Drosophila melanogaster: one gene and its partners. The protein of the gene in region 1 interacts with the protein of each later gene in a biochemical or structural test. Each region holds a gene or a part of one and is shown on either strand. Other genes may lie near its edges.

What was found. The genes of interacting proteins can lie anywhere in the genome.
Region 2: the proteins of Nrx-1 (region 1) and Spn are reported together in a solved structure, tested with the Drosophila melanogaster proteins (one study listed by BioGRID).
Region 3: the proteins of Nrx-1 (region 1) and RhoGAP100F form a complex in vitro, tested with the Drosophila melanogaster proteins (one study listed by BioGRID).

The regions. Positions count from the first base shown.
Region 1 is NT_033777.3:22,465,881-22,473,734, forward strand, and holds the start of Nrx-1 (neurexin 1), read left to right. Parts: upstream 1-3,597; 5' UTR 3,598-4,604; coding exon 4,605-5,510; intron 5,511-5,638; coding exon 5,639-6,115; intron 6,116-6,180; coding exon 6,181-6,492; intron 6,493-6,556; coding exon 6,557-6,673; intron 6,674-6,728; coding exon 6,729-7,113; intron 7,114-7,188; coding exon 7,189-7,559; intron 7,560-7,757; coding exon 7,758-7,854. Other genes in the region: Pebp1 (Phosphatidylethanolamine-binding protein 1), read left to right, coding at 211-741; CG5377 (uncharacterized protein), read right to left, coding at 1,266-2,102. UniProt on the Drosophila melanogaster protein: Neuronal cell adhesion protein involved in synapse formation, development of synaptic active zones, synaptic regulation and visual function. Plays a role in cell adhesion between the pre- and the postsynaptic cell.
Region 2 is NT_037436.4:2,549,782-2,556,239, reverse strand, and holds the start of Spn (spinophilin), read left to right. Parts: upstream 1-1,947; 5' UTR 1,948-2,182; intron 2,183-6,458.
Region 3 is NT_033777.3:31,810,816-31,817,119, forward strand, and holds the start of RhoGAP100F (Rho GTPase activating protein at 100F), read left to right. Parts: upstream 1-1,793; 5' UTR 1,794-3,011; intron 3,012-6,304. Other genes in the region: FeCH (ferrochelatase), read right to left, coding at 1-125, 185-506, 562-663, 926-1,304, 1,359-1,395. UniProt on the Drosophila melanogaster protein: GTPase activator for the Rho-type GTPases by converting them to an inactive GDP-bound state. Promotes the anchoring of Liprin-alpha clusters at synapses. Recruits and keeps Nrx-1 levels high in active zones in the presynapse opposite the postsynaptic region.

The sequences.
Region 1 (7,854 bases):
TGCATATATCATGCAGGGTTTTCAATTCCCCGTCAATAAAGTTTAACCAATTGCTTATCTCGCTATCTATGCGTTGGGGTATTAACTGAAAAGTGCACGGAACTGATTAGGCGGCGGACTCCGTCGATAAAAGGCCAGACATCAGGGATCCGGGCCAGAGTCAACTCGCTAACGCTACACCGAGCAGAAGCAACAGAACTACCAGCTAACATGGACACCGCCGGCATTATTCCCGACATCATCGACGTCAAGCCCGCCTCCAAGGCCACCATCACCTATCCTTCCGGCGTTCAGGTTGAGCTGGGCAAGGAGCTGACTCCCACTCAGGTGAAGGACCAGCCCACTGTCGTCTTCGATGCCGAGCCCAACTCCCTGTACACCATCCTGTTGGTGGACCCCGACGCACCCAGCCGCGAGGACCCCAAGTTCCGTGAGCTGCTCCACTGGCTGGTGATCAACATTCCCGGCAACAAGGTGTCCGAGGGCCAGACCATCGCCGAGTACATCGGTGCTGGACCCCGCGAGGGAACCGGCCTGCACCGCTACGTCTTCCTGGTGTTCAAGCAGAACGACAAGATCACCACCGAGAAGTTCGTGTCCAAGACCAGCCGCACTGGCCGCATCAACGTCAAGGCCCGCGACTACATCCAGAAGTACAGCTTCGGCGGTCCCGTGGCCGGCAACTTCTTCCAGGCCCAATACGATGACTACGTGAAGACCCTCATCGAGACGGTCCAGTAATCTGGCCACCAACTGATCAGCTCTCTGTGAAATAATAAATATTAAATATGTACTAGTTCTCATAAAAGTTATCTCATACATGCTTGTGGGCGGGTCTTTTGCTATGCGATTTCCATAAGCAGCTGAAGTATATTTTTATAAGAATTACTTTTGATAACATTTCCGGAATTAATTTAAACTTGCCCGAGGCTTTGATATCTTTCTTTGAAGTTAAGTTTATAAAAGCGAGAGAAAGAAATGTTTATAATTAATCATTTATTTCCCTTTCGCTAAGTTAGGAGATATGGTTATTTTTCAATTTATTTCGAAATGATTCATTGAATAGATAACAATATTCTTTAACTTAGATATGAATTTGATTCATCAAAACTATCAGTTTCCTTTTAAAATTCGAACTTTGAACACCTGCATGCTCATTTCTGATAACTGCTTTCACATATAACGAATATCCATCCAACTTCAAGTTACCATTGTTAAACAAGTAATGAGTTTGGATCCATGAAAGCTTAAATATATTGGTTAATCTAGTTATTTTTGTTAAAGAAATCGGCCACCAGTTTGTTAAACTCCTCCGCATAACGTAAATGGATATTATGCTTCCCCTCGGGGAACTCATAATATTCCGCATGAGGCAAACGCTCCCTCAGCCAAGGAATGTGCTCCGCTGCTATCATGGGATCCTTCTTTCCGTGGAGTATAAAAGTAGGTATCTTTATTTTCTCAACTTCGGTGCGACAGAAGTCTCCATCCCGTTGGTCATAGAAGGCGCATGCGGCGTCCACCCATTCGGCCCACAATTGGGGGAATCTTTCGACGCCGTAAACCTTTTCCATGGGCTCACGCATGCGCGGCGACCACTTGGCCACATCCCGAATGTTCTTAAGAGCCTTGACTTCGTCAGCGTTCAAGTAGGCACCTGCTCCCCAGATTGCTAGGCGATCCACAGCTTCCGCATGGCGACCTGCGACTATGAGCGCCGTGATGCCCCCATCGCTCCAGCCCAAAATGGAGAAGCGTGGTCTGTCCAGGGCACGCATCAAATCCACGGCTGCCTGGGCATCCTCCCGAAAGAATTCAAGGCCGAACTTGCGCTGCGGCGGCACTGATTTGCCATAACCCGGCGGATCCCAGGCGATGATGGTGTGACCCGGCAGCAGTTTCGGCAGCTGCTCGATCTGGGGCCTAAAGTCGGTCCACGAGGAACCCAGTGCTCCCGGCATCAGGAGTAGACTCCGCTCCCCACTGCCGCTCTCCACAATGTTCAAATCTGAGCCATTCACACGAACTTTCCGCTCCGTGTGCAGCAAGCGCCTGGTGATCGGGGAACGGGCACCCACAAGCCGGCACAGATTGCCCAGCATTACGTAAGCGGGATCTAACGGGGATTTTGGAGTATGGCAACAAACTTAGCTGCTTCTCAAGGGCTCTTCAGATGTCCAGAGAGGAATATTTGGCAAATTCTAATCTTTACACACGACGCCTTGTAAAGTGCACTTGATAAAGATCCGTTGATAACAGCTGATTGATAAGAACAGCTGTAAGTAAACGATCGAATTAGTGTGGCTGTAGGTGCGATGATGCCATATACCGTTAAATCAAAAGTAAATATACCAAAAAACTAATTTTAAAAGAATCGTTAATTTTTTAATAATTTGAAAAATATTTTCATATTGATATTTAGGCATTGGGTGATGCACTTGCATTTTTAAGAATGTTCCTGAAATTTAAAAGATTTTTCCATTCATTTTGAAGAATATTACTTGACAATGCCGAACTCTCCACAGATTTTAAAATAATGGTAGTTTAAAAGCCCTTGAAAGTTCAAGAGCTGCCGCTCAGTTTGATTTTAAGCTTTTCGCTCTTCCCCCAGCTTTTGGCATTCCCAATCTTAGTCCTTGTTAGTCCACTTGAACGTCACGACTCCGAAGGACAATGGACAGCACGTGCTGGCATTTGTTTAGCCTTTAGCGTGCGTTAAAATATTATTAAAAACCGTAAGTGCTTAATAGCAGGATCCTGGTCCCTGCTGTAATGGTCAGTGCGTGATTCGTGTGCTCAAATTAATGTGTTCGCCTGGACTGCGACGACGATTAATGGAGGCGACGGCCTTGCAATTGCTCTCCTAGGACGAAGGAGCAGGGTGATGGGATTTGACAGAGGCAGGACATACACCCACAATCGAGAGTAAGGGACATCACATTCCACTGCCAATGCAAATGCAAATCGAATTCGACTCCGAGATGTCGAAGTTGCGTAGTAAATGTCAAGGAATTTACACGGGTCGTCTCGGAGATAGTGAGCCCGGGGGGGTGTCAGCTTGAGTTGGTGTGTGTGAGTGTGCGTGCGGCCACAGGACACCCACGCACACAGCTGAACATGCATATGTGTGTATCCATGTGAATGTGGCATCTAATACGCTTTAGTGGTGCAGGTTATGAACCTGCGTGCTATTCGCTTATTACGCATGTGTGAGTGGGCAGCTGGTGTCTATGTGTGCGTTTGTGTGTTAGTAGTACACATATGCATGCCTCGTGCGAAGTAAGCGAGCTTTTAATTTTTGGCATTCCCACACACTACACTCAAAGCGTGCGGTGCTTTCCTTTTCCGTAGCACACTTTTTCGGGTAAATCAACAAAGTACCAATATAAACCATTAAATTCAAGATTTCCAGTAATTCTGAACGATTTTAACTTGTCTAAATGTAAAATCAGTAGTGTGAGGTACAAACTCCTTTGTCCAGTTCGATTGTAGTGCCATTTTCGAGTCGCCTAGACCGCACCAGTGGCTTTTTGTGAATAAGCTGGCGGAGCTTTCGTTATCCATTGGAAACAGTGCGAAGAAATTAAGTTTGAAATTGCAGTTCAGTCTTGTCGTGGATGCAGCGCGGATCGATATCGGAGCTAAAAGCAGCGGAAGGCGCTGCTAAGCAAATTTCGACACACAACATTTTTGTATCCCTCGAAATTGAACCGAAAAATCTGCAAAAATAAATTCAACCAACCAACAAAAACGAAAAGGACGCGTCGCGCTAAAATCCAGCCCGAAAAGTTACATAAAGCAGGAGCGACAAGAATATCGTGCAAATTCAAAGGAATAATTGTGTAATTGAAAAATCTGTGTGCAGTCTCTGCAACTAATTTCGTATCCAATCAATAGTTCAATCAATACGCATAAATAACTGATTGCTGTGGAATCAACCGCAGTAAAGCGCCCATTTTAGGGGCACTTGCTGTGAGGTGCTTAGAAAAATTTTCGCCTACATTTGCGATATGCAGTGAAAATTTTTTCCGATTTTTAGTATGTACATGTACGATGGAGCGCTCGTGGGCGCCACAAACTGCGGTGGCAGGGGTATCCGGCGAGCTTTTGGCCCAACCATAACCCCCAGTATTACTAATACAGCCGACTCGGTCGGAGAAACGGTTGTCTGACAAAGTATCGATGCAAAATATGCGCCGTTTTGAATTTAATTGCCAAAAATTATGCAAATCAAGTATACAAAATGCCGAAAACTGAAGGTGCTGAACATTAAGGACCAAAAAAATCAGGCGAAATCATAAGCAATAATCGGTGCAGTGCCGTTAACAGTCGACGTGTACCGTTAACATCCGCAGCCAACTTCGCGTGGCCGAGCTTTCGCTCTCGCGCGCTCTTACGCTCTCTCTTGGCAGGCGCGGATAAAACGGATTGCCGAGTAACACCAACACAAGGACACGCGAAAAGCTCGCGCTCAAGGACTGGAATACGCGACAGAAACACAGCGAGTGAGAGAGAGAGAGAGGGAGAAGGACACTTTACGTTTACGCGCGCAACGTGCGTAGGTGCCTCTGTGTGGGTAAGCCCGAGTGCCACCGTGCGTGTGAATGAAGGCGCCACATAGTGCAACATATCAGGATAACTATGCTGATGCGGCCATGACAGCCAGGACACGGCCAAGCATGGACATGGATCAGCAGCGAAATCGAAATCAGGCGGAGCTGAGGCTCCTGCCCGCCCAGCGCACCTCCACCTCCGCCTTTGAATCCCCCGACTTGCGGTTCAACAAGGCTCGCCGCCGGCGGAGAAGCGAGCAAGTGCCTCCCGTGGTCGTGGAATACCGTCGCTCCTACCGCGTGCTCATCGTCAGCGCCCTGCTGGTCAGTCTGGCGGCCAGTTTCGTGACGCTCAGCGCCGGATTCCAGCTAGATGGATCGCAAAACTCCTTCTACACCTTCCGCAAGTGGTACACCGGACTGAATGGGACCCTCGAACTGGAGTTCAAAACGGAACAGCCCAACGGATTGGTTCTCTACACCGACGACGGCGGCACCTACGACTTCTTCGAACTGAAGCTGGTGGAAGGAGCACTGCGGCTGAGATATAACCTTGGTGGCGGAGCTCAAATCATCACCGTGGGTCGGGAACTGCACGACGGCCACTGGCACAAGGTGCAGGTCCTGCGGAACGATGAGCAGACATCGCTCATCGTGGACGGCGTCTCCCAGCAGCGATCGACCAAGGGGAAGGAGTTCCAGTTCGGCAAGTTCGCGAGCAACTCGGACGTCTATGTGGGCGGTATGCCCAACTGGTACAGCAGCAAGCTGGCCCTGCTCGCCCTGCCATCCGTTATCTTCGAACCGCGTTTCCGTGGCGCCATCCGCAATCTGGTCTACGCGGACCAGCCGGGCGGCTCCACCAGGCGCCAGGAGATCAAGCAGCAGCGCGACATCAAGTGCGGCGATGTGCCCTGCGATCACGGAGAGCTGCCCGCCCGTGAAAGGCCGCTCAGGGTGAGTCCATTAGTCATTGATATACACAATACAACTTTTTATATTCTATTTAAATGATATTGATAATAAGAAAAAAGCCTCTATTTATATGTATCCCTGATTTGGTAAATAATCCTTTAATCCTGCAGGGTGTTCGGGGTGGCAACACAACCGATGCCTGTGAACGGAATGATCCTTGCCAGCACGGCGGCATCTGCATATCCACTGATTCCGGTCCAATTTGCGAGTGTCGAAACCTCGAGTACGATGGCCAGTATTGTGAGAAGGAGAAGGCGCCATCGGAAGCAACGTTCCGCGGTACACAGTTCCTCTCCTACGACTTGGGCCAGACGGGCGCCGAGCCGATAGTGAGCGCCCAGGATGCCATATCCTTCTATTTTCGCACCCGCCAGCCGAACGGTCTGCTTTTCTACACTGGCCACGGCACGGACTATCTAAATCTGGCGCTGCGTGATGGAGGCGTCTCCCTGACCATGGGTCTGGCTAATGGCAAGCAGGAGATGCACATAAAGCCCTCAAAGGTGCGCTTCGACGACCACCAGTGGCACAAAGTCACCGTGCACCGTCGCATTCAGGAGATCTCCTCCATAACCAGCTTCTGTCGGGTGGGTAACTGTTCATAGATTTTCTTGGTTCTTTATTCGAAATGGAGTTTTTTTTATCCCTGTAGCTGGTTACCGTGGTGGATGATGTCTATACGGATCACTCCCACATTGCTGGCAAGTTCACCATGCTCTCCTCCTCGCGGGTTTACGTTGGTGGTGCTGTTAATCCTCGAGCGCTTTTGGGTGCCCGTGTGCACACTAACTTCGTGGGCTGCCTGCGCAAGGTGGAGTTCTCAGCGGATACGCTTAATCTGAACCTCATAGACCTGGCCAAGAGCGGTTCCAAGCTGATCCAGGTTGCTGGCAATCTGGAATATCAGTGCCCCAGTGGCGATCCACAGGATCCCGTGACCTTCACCACTCGCGAATCGCATTTGGTAAGTTGAAACCTGTATGAAAATACGAAAAGTAATGAATTAATATTTGATTGTTATTTTAAAGGTCCTTCCTCCCTGGGAAACTGGCAAGCAGAGTTCTATAAGCTTCAAATTTCGCACCAAAGAACCGAATGGCATCATTGTCCTGGCCACAGGATCCAAGCAACCACGGGCCAAAAACGTGAGTCTACTCATTAGGTTATCTTGAGCCATTTTGCATAATTTGAATCCATCAGCCCGTTTTGATTGCCATTGAGCTGCTGAATGGGCACATCTACATCCATTTGGACCTCGGATCCGGAGCCTCCAAGGTGCGAGCCTCGCGACGTCGCGTGGACGATGGCGACTGGCATGACCTGATTCTTCGGCGGAATGGACGCGACGCCAAGGTGAGCGTGGATGGGGTGTGGAACGACTTCCGGACGCCCGGTGACGGCACCATCCTCGAGCTGGACGGGCACATGTACCTGGGCGGAGTGGGTCCCGCCTACAATAGCGTGTCCTGGCCGGCGGCCATTTGGACGGCCACGCTGCGCCAGGGATTCGTAGGCTGTTTGCGTGACCTGGTGCTGAGTGGCAAGGCGATCGATATAGCGGCATTTGCACGTGTCCAGGATTCGGGTGAGTAGTCACGCCAGCGATGGTCATCCACTGATAGCGCGTAACCCGATACTTGTAACCCACTTGGGCACACAGCCTCCGTGAAGCCATCATGCCATGTGCAGGCCAACGTTTGCAACGGCAATCCCTGCCTGAACGGAGGCACCTGCCTGGAGGGCTGGAATCGACCTATTTGCGACTGCTCGGCCACGCTGTACGGAGGACCCACCTGTGGACGGGAACTCGCCACGCTGGCCTTCAACGGCAGCCAGCACATGACCATCTGGCTGGGCAATGGACAAGGCACCAAGACGCAGACCGAGGAGCTGGTCATCCGCTTCAAGACCTCGCGTCCGGCAGGACTCCTGCTGTTGACCAGCGCGGAGTCCAACTCGCCGGATCGTCTGGAGATCGCTCTGGTGGCGGGAAGGGTGCGGGCCAGTGTGCGGTTGAGCGATCGTGAGAAGGTAAGTCTTTCCGTGGGAGGTGCTCAACGTGGCAACATTTGTCCTTCGCTCCAGAAAATCACCTTTAACTTTCAGCCTTGGGTAAATAGTATTTTATTTTAGTTATGTCTGTATTGTAAGCCCAAGGTCAATGCAAAATTAAATATGATTTTCGAGGGCATTGGGACAGCTTTCTGAGTGTGTGATAATCCCTTCCAGAACTTGCTGGCCGGCCAGTCGGTGCTCAACGACAACAACTGGCACACGATCCGCTTCTCGCGCAGAGCCTCCAATCTGCGGCTGCAAGTCGACGGGG
Region 2 (6,458 bases), on another chromosome or scaffold:
CTTGTGCTTATGAAATTCACCACGACAACGTTTCAATTAGTAAATGTGCTAAGAAAACTCGATCAACGCGAGTCTATATATATATATATACATATATATATATATATATATATGTGTATAAAATAATCTACTTAATATTTAGAAACGAACATTTCAAGCTCACTCGTCGAGGTTTTTTGTCAGATCTGGTCAGAAAAAAAACCGCAATTAAAGCAATTCGTATCCTCCATCCTTTCGATGTATGTATATTAACGTTACATAACTGAACAAACACCCAGCACACACGATTCAGATTCAGATTCATTTCAAATGTCGTTTCACGATTGTGTATGATTTCGCTTACAAGTTAAACTTAAGTTGAAAGTTAGCAACGCAGCATAAGCCCACAAAACATACAAGTATATCGAATTTTCTGCGCACAGCAGAAAATATAGAAGAAAATATATGCAGTTAGTTTTTGTTCTTGATATTATCAAATAGAATTTATTTGTGCGTTTCTGATAAATACGTGTTAGTGGAGAGAGAGCAGAGGAAATTTATACATTTTATGCAAATGCAAATGCAAATGGAAATCGAAGCGAAGCGAAGCAAAGCAAAGCAAACAAAACCCACATAAAACGCCATTGTAAAAACTAAGTGATAAACAAGTAAATAATTGATTAATGTAAAATAAAGCCGAAAGCAACACAAAACCCAAGCAAGCTTGCAACAATTGAGGAAATCCAATGGAAGTATAGAAACGCACCACGTCGTTTGCGAGGAGAGCTACCTTAATAACGAAATTGGAGGGAATTACAAAACGAGAACCTAGTTAAGCTGCATTTTTTACTGAACTTTTATACAGAGCCAAGAGAATGATGAAAACAAAAGCAAAAATAACGGATGAACGAATCGAGGAGGGAAATTAAACCAAAATTCTATAAATCGTAGCATGTTAAAATTGATAACCATCTCCGCTTTTTGTACTGTGTGCATTTCTTTGTGTTTTCACTAGCTTCAATATCAAAAGTGGTCACGTTGCAATATCTCTATATCGAGTGCATATAGAAGAATCTTGTCCCCAACTGGCACACACTCCAATGTCCCCAATGAAACACTAATTCTGCCTTATTTTATGTTGTTTGCGTGATTTCGCCCCACTCCCTTCTCTTCCACACGAAAAAGTCTCATGAAGAAGTATATTTAAAATATTGTTTGTTTTTGTGTTATAAACTGATTGTACGCCCCCGTATTTAGTAATGTTCATCCAAGCAAAATGGAAAGATAAGTGCACCAACATGCACGTCTAAAGCAACAAAAAAAAAAAATAAAAGAATTAGTAATAAATGCTTACTTTATTTCTAAAATAAAACAAGTAAAATGGTACAGAAATGAATGTAAATCTAATTATTATATATATATAATCTCAAAATTAAAAAAAAAAAATACAACAAAAGATCCGCATTTTATTTGCCGGTTGGTATTTATTATTAAGAAGTTATTTTAATACAAAAGGTATTTTAAAATTCGGTCACCAAACGAATATTTCAATATTTAACATGAATGTAGAGAGCTTTCTACTGGTTTGAGTCTTTGCTAGTTTTTACATTACCTTACAAATGACCTAAAGTGAATAATACAGATTTACTATAATTTTCTTAAAAACTTAAGCTCTTTAAATATTAAATATTGAGCTGCATTTTCAAGCGTTGTGCGTTTCCTAAGGAAAAATAAATTTGAATTTCGTAAAATGGCCAAAGCAATGCCAGTTTAGAACACAAACTTTTTGAAATGTAGCGCTGATTGCTCGAATATAAGTGAATAAATCGAATATTATTAGCAAGTTATCAGTGAGACCGCACTTGAATCGAGAATTAAAAACCCATAGCGCCAAAACAATTCACCGATAGTATCGAATAGTCGTCTCCTATCGTACCAGCTCTAAAAAAACAAAGCAAAACCAAAATCGGCCCGAAATTCAAGCTAAACGGACGCGTTTTCGTCGCGAGTTTAACCGCTGCAAAAATATCAACAATAAGTATAAATTGCCGCGGGTACTGAGTTCATATGATGATCGAGTGATTTTTTTCATCGTACAATTAACGTCCTTCGAAATAGGATATATTCGAGTATTCCGGGTCGCGAGTATTTAAAAAAAAGGATTTGTGTATACCGAAAGGGCTAAACAAAAAGCTTTTTAAAGGTAAATCCCAGCAAAGGAGTGTTAAATGGAGTTTGGCGAAAAGCTAATGTGCCGGAAAAAAGTACAAAACAGTGCGAATGAAAATAAAAAGACGCCGACTATATGTGTATAAGGTCCATGTGTATGTGTGAAAAAATCCTGGACAACGCCACTCCTTTTGCGCAAAGAAATTTAATAAAAAAAAACGCAATGAAGCTGTATATAGAGAGCAAAACGAAGCTGCGCCGGAGTTGAACGAAATACGAAGTGTAAATTGGGGGTGTGGGTGCCACACAATTCCGGGTGTACGCAAATATTTTGAAACGAAATCGCCATTAAATTCAGGTTCCGATTTTAGTGCAAATACAACGGTAAAACAATGAAATTGCATTTGGAGTAGCGGCATTTTTAGGGGTGTGTGTGAGTTCGAGTCCTGTCGTCCTGCTTGCACCCTCTGCGCAGAAGCAGGACAGCAAAAAACCCCCGAAAAAACAATTGCAAATTGCAGAATTGCGAGCGAAACACGAAAATACGAAAATAGTTTCGGCCAACAGCTGGCGAAGTTTCAGACACCTGGCGAAAAAACCAACATGGGACACTTAAACAGTTAAACGGTTCTCCTTTTTATGGCTTTTAATAACTGGTTTCGCAGAGCCTTTTCGCGTAGGTGCGAGCGAGCAGGAAGTATGCCCCAACCAAAGAACCGTTGATCGCAAAATGCAACTCCGATCGGGTGGGAATGAGTAAGAGAAGCGGGAGAGAGGGGGAGCGAGAGCGAGATGGAGACTGGGTGATAAAAAACCATAACATAACAAAACAAAACAAAACGAAAGCAAGTGACTTTTGTTTTTCTCTTGTTGTCTTAGGTTCTGTTTGCATGTGTGGGTTTCTTCTGATAATTTCGCTATCGTTGTTTTGGCCTTATTTATCGCCGTTCTTTGTTTTGCAATTCTGCGAGTGGCCGCAATTTATGCAAATATGCAGAAATCACAATTCTATTTGCACTATTTCCTCAATAAAAAATCGCTGGCGAGGCCAAGAACATTATATTGTTGTTAAACTCAGCTCTTCGCGGGTACAATTTCACCCTCTTTTGTGCGTCGCGTGCTCTGCGCTTCTTTTTCTCATTTGTTTATTTTTAGTTGCGGAATTTCTGGTTACAAACCGTATTTAATTTCAACGACTTCCCTCTGTTGTGCTCCTTATTCTCCACTCCCGCTTCCACTTCCTTCGTCGTCTTCTTCTCTCTCTGCTCCTTTGTCTCGCAGAAACAGTTGCGCTTCATGTCAGTCCCCAATACACTGAGAAAAAATGTGGTATCTGATGCTTATCTCAATTTAAAGGTCTTGTATTAAAATTAACGTATAGTGTGTGGTAGAGAATAAAATTTTCATACAATATCTTTATAGATAAACCATATCTAACGCTTTTTCCAGTGCACTGGAAGAGGGAGCTCCAAAAGATACAATAAGGGGAGTTTGGGGTAGAACACAACAAGATGAAGGGCCCGCCTTTGTTTTATGACTTCTGTGTATATTTATTTATAGTTGCTTCACTTTAATGTTTCAATTTTTATTTCCACACAATATCCATCGTCAATTTGTCGGCGACTTAAAAACTCATAAAGTATTCAGCTATTTTCCGGCGTCATTAAACTTTCGCCCACGCTCGAGCAATTTGCATAAACTTAATTAGTCAAATGCAGGCACAAAAAGTTATTCAACAAATTATTCTTAATTAACGAAACAGCCAAAATCGCATAGCATTTGACAGATTGAACATTCAAATGCGTTAATTTTCATGCAAATCTGGGCATTATGCTAATGCCTTTGAGTAGCCAAAAGTTAATTCAACGCCTTGAATTTATAGTTTCACCATTTTGGCATTTATGGAAAACTTTTGCAACGGCTTAAATGTTCTCAAAACTGCACCGAGTATTTCAAAAAAGTTGTTCTTCATTAAAAAAAAAAACCATATAGGAAGCCAGATGACAGATCAAACATTAAATAGCAATAATCTTGATTATGTGCCAAAGCTTGAACATGAATAATTGTTTCATATTATTCAGTTTTGTTTATGGAAAATCTTGACATCTGCTGATCAGATTAAAGAATTTAACTTTTCAAAAAAATTACCAAAGTTGAAAGACTTTGATTTATTGCTTCACATTTATGCTATTTATTTTACTTCTGAATCTTGTCGCAACTATTTCCACAGAAATCCAGATCGCAGATCTGTGTGAATTAAATAAATCAAACGCAAACAGACAAGAGAATAGTTATTCAAGAGATTATTCTTAATTAAAGAAGTAGACAGACTCTGTTTTCGTGTAAATCTGAGTTTTATGTTAATCACTGATATGTATATTGTTTTTTTTTACTTTTCGCATTTATGGAAATCTTTTGCAATGCTGAGACCGGCAAAAAGTCAACTATTTCGAACGAAATCGAGATCACAGATATCTCCGAACTCTTGAGTGTTATGTTTTTCCGTTTGTTTTTGTATCTTTTTTCGGTGGCCCACGCGCAGCTGGCGAAATCAAGTTTAGGAATTCCCCCGTAGCCCCCTAAAAAAATATAGATACCCCTGACTTTATCTCTTGCGTCACTTGATTTGGCGCAAGCTTAGCACACGACTCTTTTGGGTCCATTTTTTGCGCCATATGATCTTGGATCTCTGGCATTTTTAGTCGACTTTTCAATGAAAACCCATAGCCACAATAGTAGCTATAGGTGTATATATCTATGTATCTCTACTGATATTAACAGTCGCCGCAAAATGTCGCCTTTATTTATTCATCCACTTTTTTTTCCTACCTTTTTTTATGAGGCTGCCGTTTGGCGATCCGCCATATAAGGCATCTAAATTGTGTGCGCGTTTGGGTCTTGGATTTTCGGTTGATCAATGATCATGATTCGTTCATGGCTTGGGGCCATTCGGCTTTTATTGTCTGAGGAAAAGCGATATTAGCTAAGCCTAATGTGGCCATTTGTGGCTTGATTTTTATTTGATTGTTACAGGGTTCACTGAACCCAGGTTGCAGTTCAATTAGTCGGTCGAATTTGGCAGAGAAATAGTGGTAATACATGTTAGAAAAACTTGAACTTGATACGAGTACTGACATTAGACTATAGTAGGATTAAATAAGACTTGGTGCTGTTTTAAACTTCTTTATATCCAGAATACTTTCATATAATTATCGTATGCCGCTCCGCATGAGATTCCAATGATTACGCCAGTTGCATTTAGGTAATTGATAGTTGGCCACAGCTGCAGTGGTCCATGGGGCCGGAGCGGACCCCATTCCCGCCCAGAGTTCAACCCACACCTCTCTAACGGCCATGCAACCACTTGCGCACCACTTTGTCCACTTGTCCGGACAGCAAACTGAAAAAAACCCTGTGGAACAACTTGAAATGTTTGTGTAACCCACGGCGAAACAAAACCGAAACACAAAACCAGAGAGGGGAAAACATGCGGCAGGCGAAGCTTTCGAATCACATAACGTACAACACCGAAAATGGGTGGGTTATACTGCCCCACTTGAGGCACTCCTCCTCCGGATGCCGCCTCCTTATCCCCGATCGATATGTATATGTATATGTACCTAATGAGCCTGCGGGCTCTGTCGTTGGGCATTATTAACATACGTTTGGTATGGACATCCCATCAAGTTTCTGTCTGCCAGGCGTTTAACCCTCTGAACAAAAGAGGATTACTTCCCTTAATAAGTCAAACGAAATGGCTAGTTGGGAATTATAAGGCAGAAGAGTGGAAATGTTTCACTATATTTCCCACACTATATGTTAACATAATGTAATGCAACGTTGTTAATTTCTTAATTAACAAGTTTTTAAGCCAATTACAAAAACATTACTGTAACTTTTATAAGCTGTCGCGTTGTCGAAGGCTTTAACCCTACGTGGTAGTTTCTGAATTATGCAATTTAGCAACCTTCAGTGGCTGCAATTGCAACTGCAGCGAGATTGAAACGAATGAGTTAGGAAAAGAGCTGAGATAGAACTGCCGAGCATGAGATTCCGAAGTTGCATGACTGGTCTCTCCGTCGCAGCTTAGTTAACAATGTAAATTGCACCATCCATCGCCACCTTCAAGGTTCATTCTCAGCCCCACCCACCACCCACTGCAAAAACAAAAAACACGCAAACTTCAAGCGAAATATAATACTGTTCATAACATTATGGATCTGCGTTTGGTCCTAATTAATTGGCAGCTAATTTAGGACACCTCCCCGCCTGGTTTCAGTCCTCATATCCAGCCAATCCCCATTTCCAGC
Region 3 (6,304 bases), 9.3 Mb from region 1:
ACGCCTACCTCCTTGGCCAGTTCGTCGCAGTACTCGATGTCGAGCTCATGCAGCGTCTCGATGTGCTCGTTCACGAAGGCAATGGGCACAAGGATGAAGTTCTTCAGGCCTTGCTTAACATAGCCCTGTAAAGATGGGATTGGTTTTAGTGGATGGGAATGGAAATCCGGCATTAAAGTTACACCTTAATGGCATCATCAGTTGCGGGCGCCAGCCAGGGTAGCGGGCCCACCTTGGATTGCCATGCCAGGCTGTAGGGATTCGTCTGACCAAGTTCCTGCATCACCATGTGTACGCTAGCACCAATCTCCGAGGGATACGCGTCACCCCGGTTCACAGCCTTAAGGGGAAGGGAGTGGGCAGTGAAGAGGATGACCACATCATTTCGTTTCGTTTCCACAAATTTGGCCAGCTCGTCGCGAATTCGCTGGGCAAACGTTTTGATTAGAAGTGGATGAGTGCCCCACCTGTCGATAATGCTCCATTTGATATCCGAGGGCAGATTACTAAAGAGGTAGAGGGGATCAAATAAATAGCTGCAATTGTGCATTTCTAACTCACTTGCTCCGATAATGAGTAAATATGGAGTTAAAGCTGGATCCGGAGGTGGCGCAGCTGTACTGTGGATATTGTGAAAAGAGTACAACGCGCTCTGGTTTGTCCCTGTAAATATGTTAAAATATTAACATGTATTCTTTAAGTAGCGCAAATGACCATAATTTCCAGGTTTAGGTTTCAGTAATTTGTCCAAGAAGTCAACTGATAATAGCAGGACATTGAAACATGCATAAGAAGTCAGAAGTCTATACAAACTTATTTACTAGAACATATCTTATTGTGAGAGTCCGTAGCAATATATATAGGTCAATTTCACGACCTTCGGATTATTTACATCACTCTTGTTCTACTTCTCGACTACACTCACTTTTCGATCTCGGCCAGCGTGTTCTCAGTGAGGGGATTCACGTAGCGGAAACCGACGTAGTGCTTGTGAGGTGCTGTCTCCGGGGAGATTCTGTCCAACTGCTCGCACATGAGCTGGCCCTGCAGCTCGGTCCACTTAAGAATCGGTGAACCACCGCCGATCTCCTTGTACTTCTTCTGTACCTCGGGCGTCCTGCGCTGGGCGATCCACGGACCAAGACGGCTCTGCACCGGCAGCTGGATCATGTCCCGGTCGGTCATAATACGCAGGAGGTAGTCATGCACCTGGTCCGTGTGGGTCGGACCGCCCATGTTCAGCATTAGGATCGCGGTCTTCGGTTTTTGGCCGCTCAGGTTGCGCACTCCTCCTGCCAGACCACCTGTTGGGGAATATGTAGGAATGTCGTGGGAACTGTATCCACTCGTATACTCACTTGCCAGTCTGCAAAACTTTGTGTTATGCAAAAACATAGTTCCTTTTAAATTGACCCAAATTGATGGCACCGGTGTCGAATAGTGTTACCAGTTGCTAAAATAGTTTAAATACCAAAATGTATGATCTCACAGATTCTAGAGTTTTTCCAAACGTAACAGAGTTCTGTAAAAAGTAACCGTCACGCCATCTATGTGTGTAAAATAGCTGCCAACTATTACTCAACAGTAATCTAAATATTTAAAAATTTTTCCTTTTGTTACACATTTACCATTTAATTTCTCTTTATTGAAACCGAAACCAATATTTGGTATATACTGTTCTTCAAGCGACCAACAGAAATTTTTCGCGCATGCGTCCTTATTTCTTTCCCTTGTCATCAACGCTGCGTGCAACGGTAAAAGCTGACTGTGGTGCAGTCTCGCTCTTGCACGCTGCATTTCGCTCTCGTCGCTTGCTGCGAGTGTTTCGTTTCCTCCGATCAAATAATATTTTGTAGTTTTTCCACCGAATGCAGGCACAATTGCTTCGTAAAAACGCAATAAAAGGCGCGGCCCATGGTCCGAAAAGATAAGAAAGCTTGAAAAACAACCGAAAGTGTCGTTTAACATCGGAGAAAAGCAAAAGGACAAGCGGCGCAGCACAGTGAAAAAAACGTAGGAAGTTTTGGAGTGAGTGAGAGGGAAGGAGTTCCACCGCGGTGGTGGGTGTACGTGCGCGAGTATTGGTGATGTGTCCATGTCCGTGTTATCGCCACCAGCATTAAAGTGCTCCAATTCGTGGCGCACGCGCAGAATAACTAGCGCTCTCTTGCTCTCTTTCTCGACTTAGAAGAGGAACAGGATATTTTATTATACTGAAATTCCTACTCAGGAAATTCGCATAGTTGCGAAAGCTTCGCGCTGCCACACGGACGCATTCCGCTACGGGTTCCCCGCACCACCCACACACTCTCACACCCGCCTGCCGCGAGCCCACACACCGCGCCCGCAAGCACTCTCGCGCACAGATCAATGAAAAGGCCAAAAAATAAATTGCACCTTTTCCGGGAACCAAAAACATGTTGAAATTATCTCACAAGTTACGCAAAAAATGCCGCAGCAAAAAAGTTGCATGGGATGCCGTGAATGCGACGAAAGTGTGAAACGAAACGAAAGGCAACGAAAGACGGTGCAGAAAGGAGCAAAGAGAGGCTGCAAGGATGTACTGCTTCTCAAAATCCCAAGCCATTGACCACCGAATCAGCGATAAGTCTCTAACAACAAAAACCTGCACCTAGCCAATTGCATTTTGCATTCGCATTCTTACTGCCCCGGAAGTAAAAGCAGCTTCAGCGGAAATTAAAACCAATCAAAGCCGAAATAAAAGGTAACGCTAGCGAGCGAAAGAGATAGACATTTTTAGAGAAAAAGAGAGAGCAAGAGAGAGCTACCATAGAGAGCAAGTGCATCCTTTTCACAACGCGGCACACATTTACGACCGGTGACTGCAACTAGCCCACTCCCATACCTCCGCCCCTCTTCAACCCGACCCCAGTTGTCCCTTGCAATTTGTGATCTCACGTTTTCATAACTTGGGCAGTAGCCGTTGGCACGGATTAGACGCAAAACGTCAAGCATTAGGACGTCAGGAGAAACGCAGTTCCACAGTGCAGGTGAGTTTTCAACAAAGGGACCTATCCAGGAAACTCACTGGCGGCTATGCATTTAGTTAATTAAAAAACTATTTGAAGGGTGAAAAGTCCATCATAGGAAATGACCTTGTCGCTATCAAATTCGGCTGTGCTTGATAAGGCTCCCACAACTCGAATAAGCGATCATTTGTGGCAAGTGTGATTATGCGCAATTTTCTGTTAAAACAAATCCTGTTTCCAGAACTTCTAATGCTTTGTTGGTTAGCGTTATTTTGCCTTTTACTAAAAACCTTTTGAAAGAAAAGGAAACGTCTTCTGATAGGCTATCATCATTCATTGTAGTCATTGGAGGTGGAGGTTCCAATTTAATCGTAAGAAAACATGGCATATCGTCAAATCAATTCGAGCAAATGTAATATAAGCGGTGTCTATTCCAGCAGCAAATTATTTCAAGATCTCCTCTATTACACACAAGAGATGAAGATCTAGGATATATACGACTAGGTGAGAGGAACAGAAAGCAAAACATTTACCGCGACATTAACAATCAAAAATCTTGTTTGGACGCTTTTTATGCTCAAAGCCCCCATAACTTTTTACACCCCGAATCGCCCCTTCAGTCCGCCAAACTACCCCCAAGCTAAAAGCTTTGCTCCAATTTACCAGCAAACAGAGAACTTTGTGTGGAGCCCCATACCATACAAATAATTTAAAAAAGCTGAGCCGCACAACTATCTTAATTTTATGTTAGAACTAAAGCCCCTTGTATAAAAAAAATGATAGCAAGCCTCTTACGGTAGCCAAAAATGGATTTCCATAGAGACCATTAAAATCGCTTGGTACTTTTTGTTGTATTAATTTACGTTGTTATTTATTAACTTATTTTAAGGCAGTATTGTTCACATATAGAAAATCTTTAAACAGAAAGTTATTTTTAAAATTGCATATTATTTTGTTTGGTCCTTATGTGTGTGGTATAAGCCGAGCTGTAATACAACATGTGGATGGCGACTTCCATTCTGTGCAGCCATAATTCCATCTTTTTGATTCTGCCCTCACTAATTAGATAAATTCACAGTTTCCCCGCAACTTTGCTAGTTTTTATGGTTTCGAGCATATTTTTGGCATTTTAATGCGACTTCTATCCGTCGTCCAAATGGCGAGTTGGGAGCTCCAAATTCGGAGTTGCGAGTTTCTAGTTGCGGGTTGCTGGTGGCATGTTGCACAGTCGTCAGGTGAGTCAGCTGAGCACCGGCAGAAAGGACCACATGGCGCGAAGCGACTGCACTGAAAATTGGGGTTTTACCATGCAGATAATGGGATCCGATCTGAAAAGTAAATGATCGTAATATCGGTTGTCAAGAGCTGCGAGTCAGTTGTGGGGCCTTTTCGCGTTACAATTATAAGCTGAGCCGATAAATATAACTTCTAAAAGAAAGAGTATCCTTTTTTTGCCTCAGTGGGTGTGCAGTCGCATGAGCGTGCGGCAAAGCCCAGTGGGTGTGGGTGGGATGGTGGGTTTGCGGGTTAGGGTCCGACGGTCCCCAGTGGTGGGTCTGTGTTTCTTCTTTCGATGTATATTCCTTTGTCGGGTGCTACTAACCAGTCAAAGTGTGGAAAAGGGACTCATGGGGATGTGGCGTTGTGGATAAACTTCAACGCAGCAATAACCATACCAAACCAAATAATGCCATGATGGGGTTACAACTGAGCCCAAAGAGGGAAATCGATAAATCTGCCTGTCGTCATTGTAGCACTGCCTCAAGTAAAAATAATTTTAAAGTTTAAAATTCATATCGATATCTTATTAAATTCGGTTTTCACTATTTATGACAATTTCGTAATATTTGGATTCTGATGTACTTGCTTGCTGCGGAAAGTCTCCGTTTTTTGCTATTTGATAAATTATTTGCTATTTTTGCCGCTGGAATGGAGTGCGGGCAAGCTTTGTCACTCATTTATGGACACACATAGCGAGCTCAATTTGTGATGTCATTATAATACATTTTATGCGTGCCTAGACAACATTCCCGGCGACTGGCGACTGGTAAAGTTGTTCTCGATGTGGTAATGGGTGTAGCTGCTGCTGTTGGTGAACACCCAGGCAACATCTTTCCTCGTGACGGCTGTTCTCTGTCGCTACTGCGACTGTGACACAAAGTATCTTGTATATACATGTTCCAGCTCATGCAGCTCCCCGCTTCCTAGAAAGGAATTATGAATAGACATTTTTCCGTTCCATACCTAGTACACCCGGAAGTGATGCTGTTTAAGCTCTGTGAGCAAAATATCTGGTTCTATCCACTAACATATATGTTAATTCCAGTATTGCTCGTTCAATGTATTTCCTATATTTCCTCTTTTTCGAAATTTCGGAGTACAATTTTAAGACTTTTATCGTCCGTAAGGATAGTCATTGACATCACTGGAACTAGCGTTGAAAACTGGCAAGGAAATCAGTTGTCAGTGACGCAGCTGGACCCCCTGACATGTTCGTGAGGACATAGCTCCACATTCTTCTTTGTACATTTGAATGTCCTGTGCACGATTGTAACATTTTTCATTGCAATTACTACGGCGGGAGCAACGGAGGAGGCGTTCGAGGAAGGCAAGCTGCTTTCTGGAAAAAAATCTGGAGTTGTGGCAATGTGCCATCCAAGGCTTTACTGGTTTCCTTTAATGTCGATGACAGTGATCATCCTGATGATGATGATGAATAATCTGACTGAGGATGGCATAGGGGCCACTCAATGTTAAGCCCTTGTGTGTTGATTGTTATTGGCTCCTGTTTTAGTATGAATGATATATATAAGTGTTCCTACAATTTTTTGTGTCCCTATCTCTTTTCCATTCTACTAAAACAAAACAGACACCATTTTTAATAAAAAACATAAGTTTACTATTGAGGGCAAAGGACTGTTACTTTGTTCACTTTACAGGAAGATATTAGAAAGGAATTAACCATGCCTTTATTATTTTGGTATAAGCCATTCCAGTCCTCAACAGGATCCGAAGGAAAATGTTCCTCACAAGGGCCTAGCAAAAAGCAAGTTCAGCTTCCTAACGAAAACTGGGCCAACACAATTAGCCCAAAGGCCAGGCTGGTCCGCTTCATTACCATAAATATACAGCTATGGGAATGAGCGCGCATTTTGCCAAGGATGTACCAGAACCAGAAGTGGCCCACATTCGCTAAAAAGCCCTCAATGCAAGAAATGTGTCCTTGGTTAGATGTAATTAATGTTTAAAACTTTAATATTAGCATTAATATAGGCATTTTTTTCTTTTGATTAAAAAGTGGAATATAGTTACAT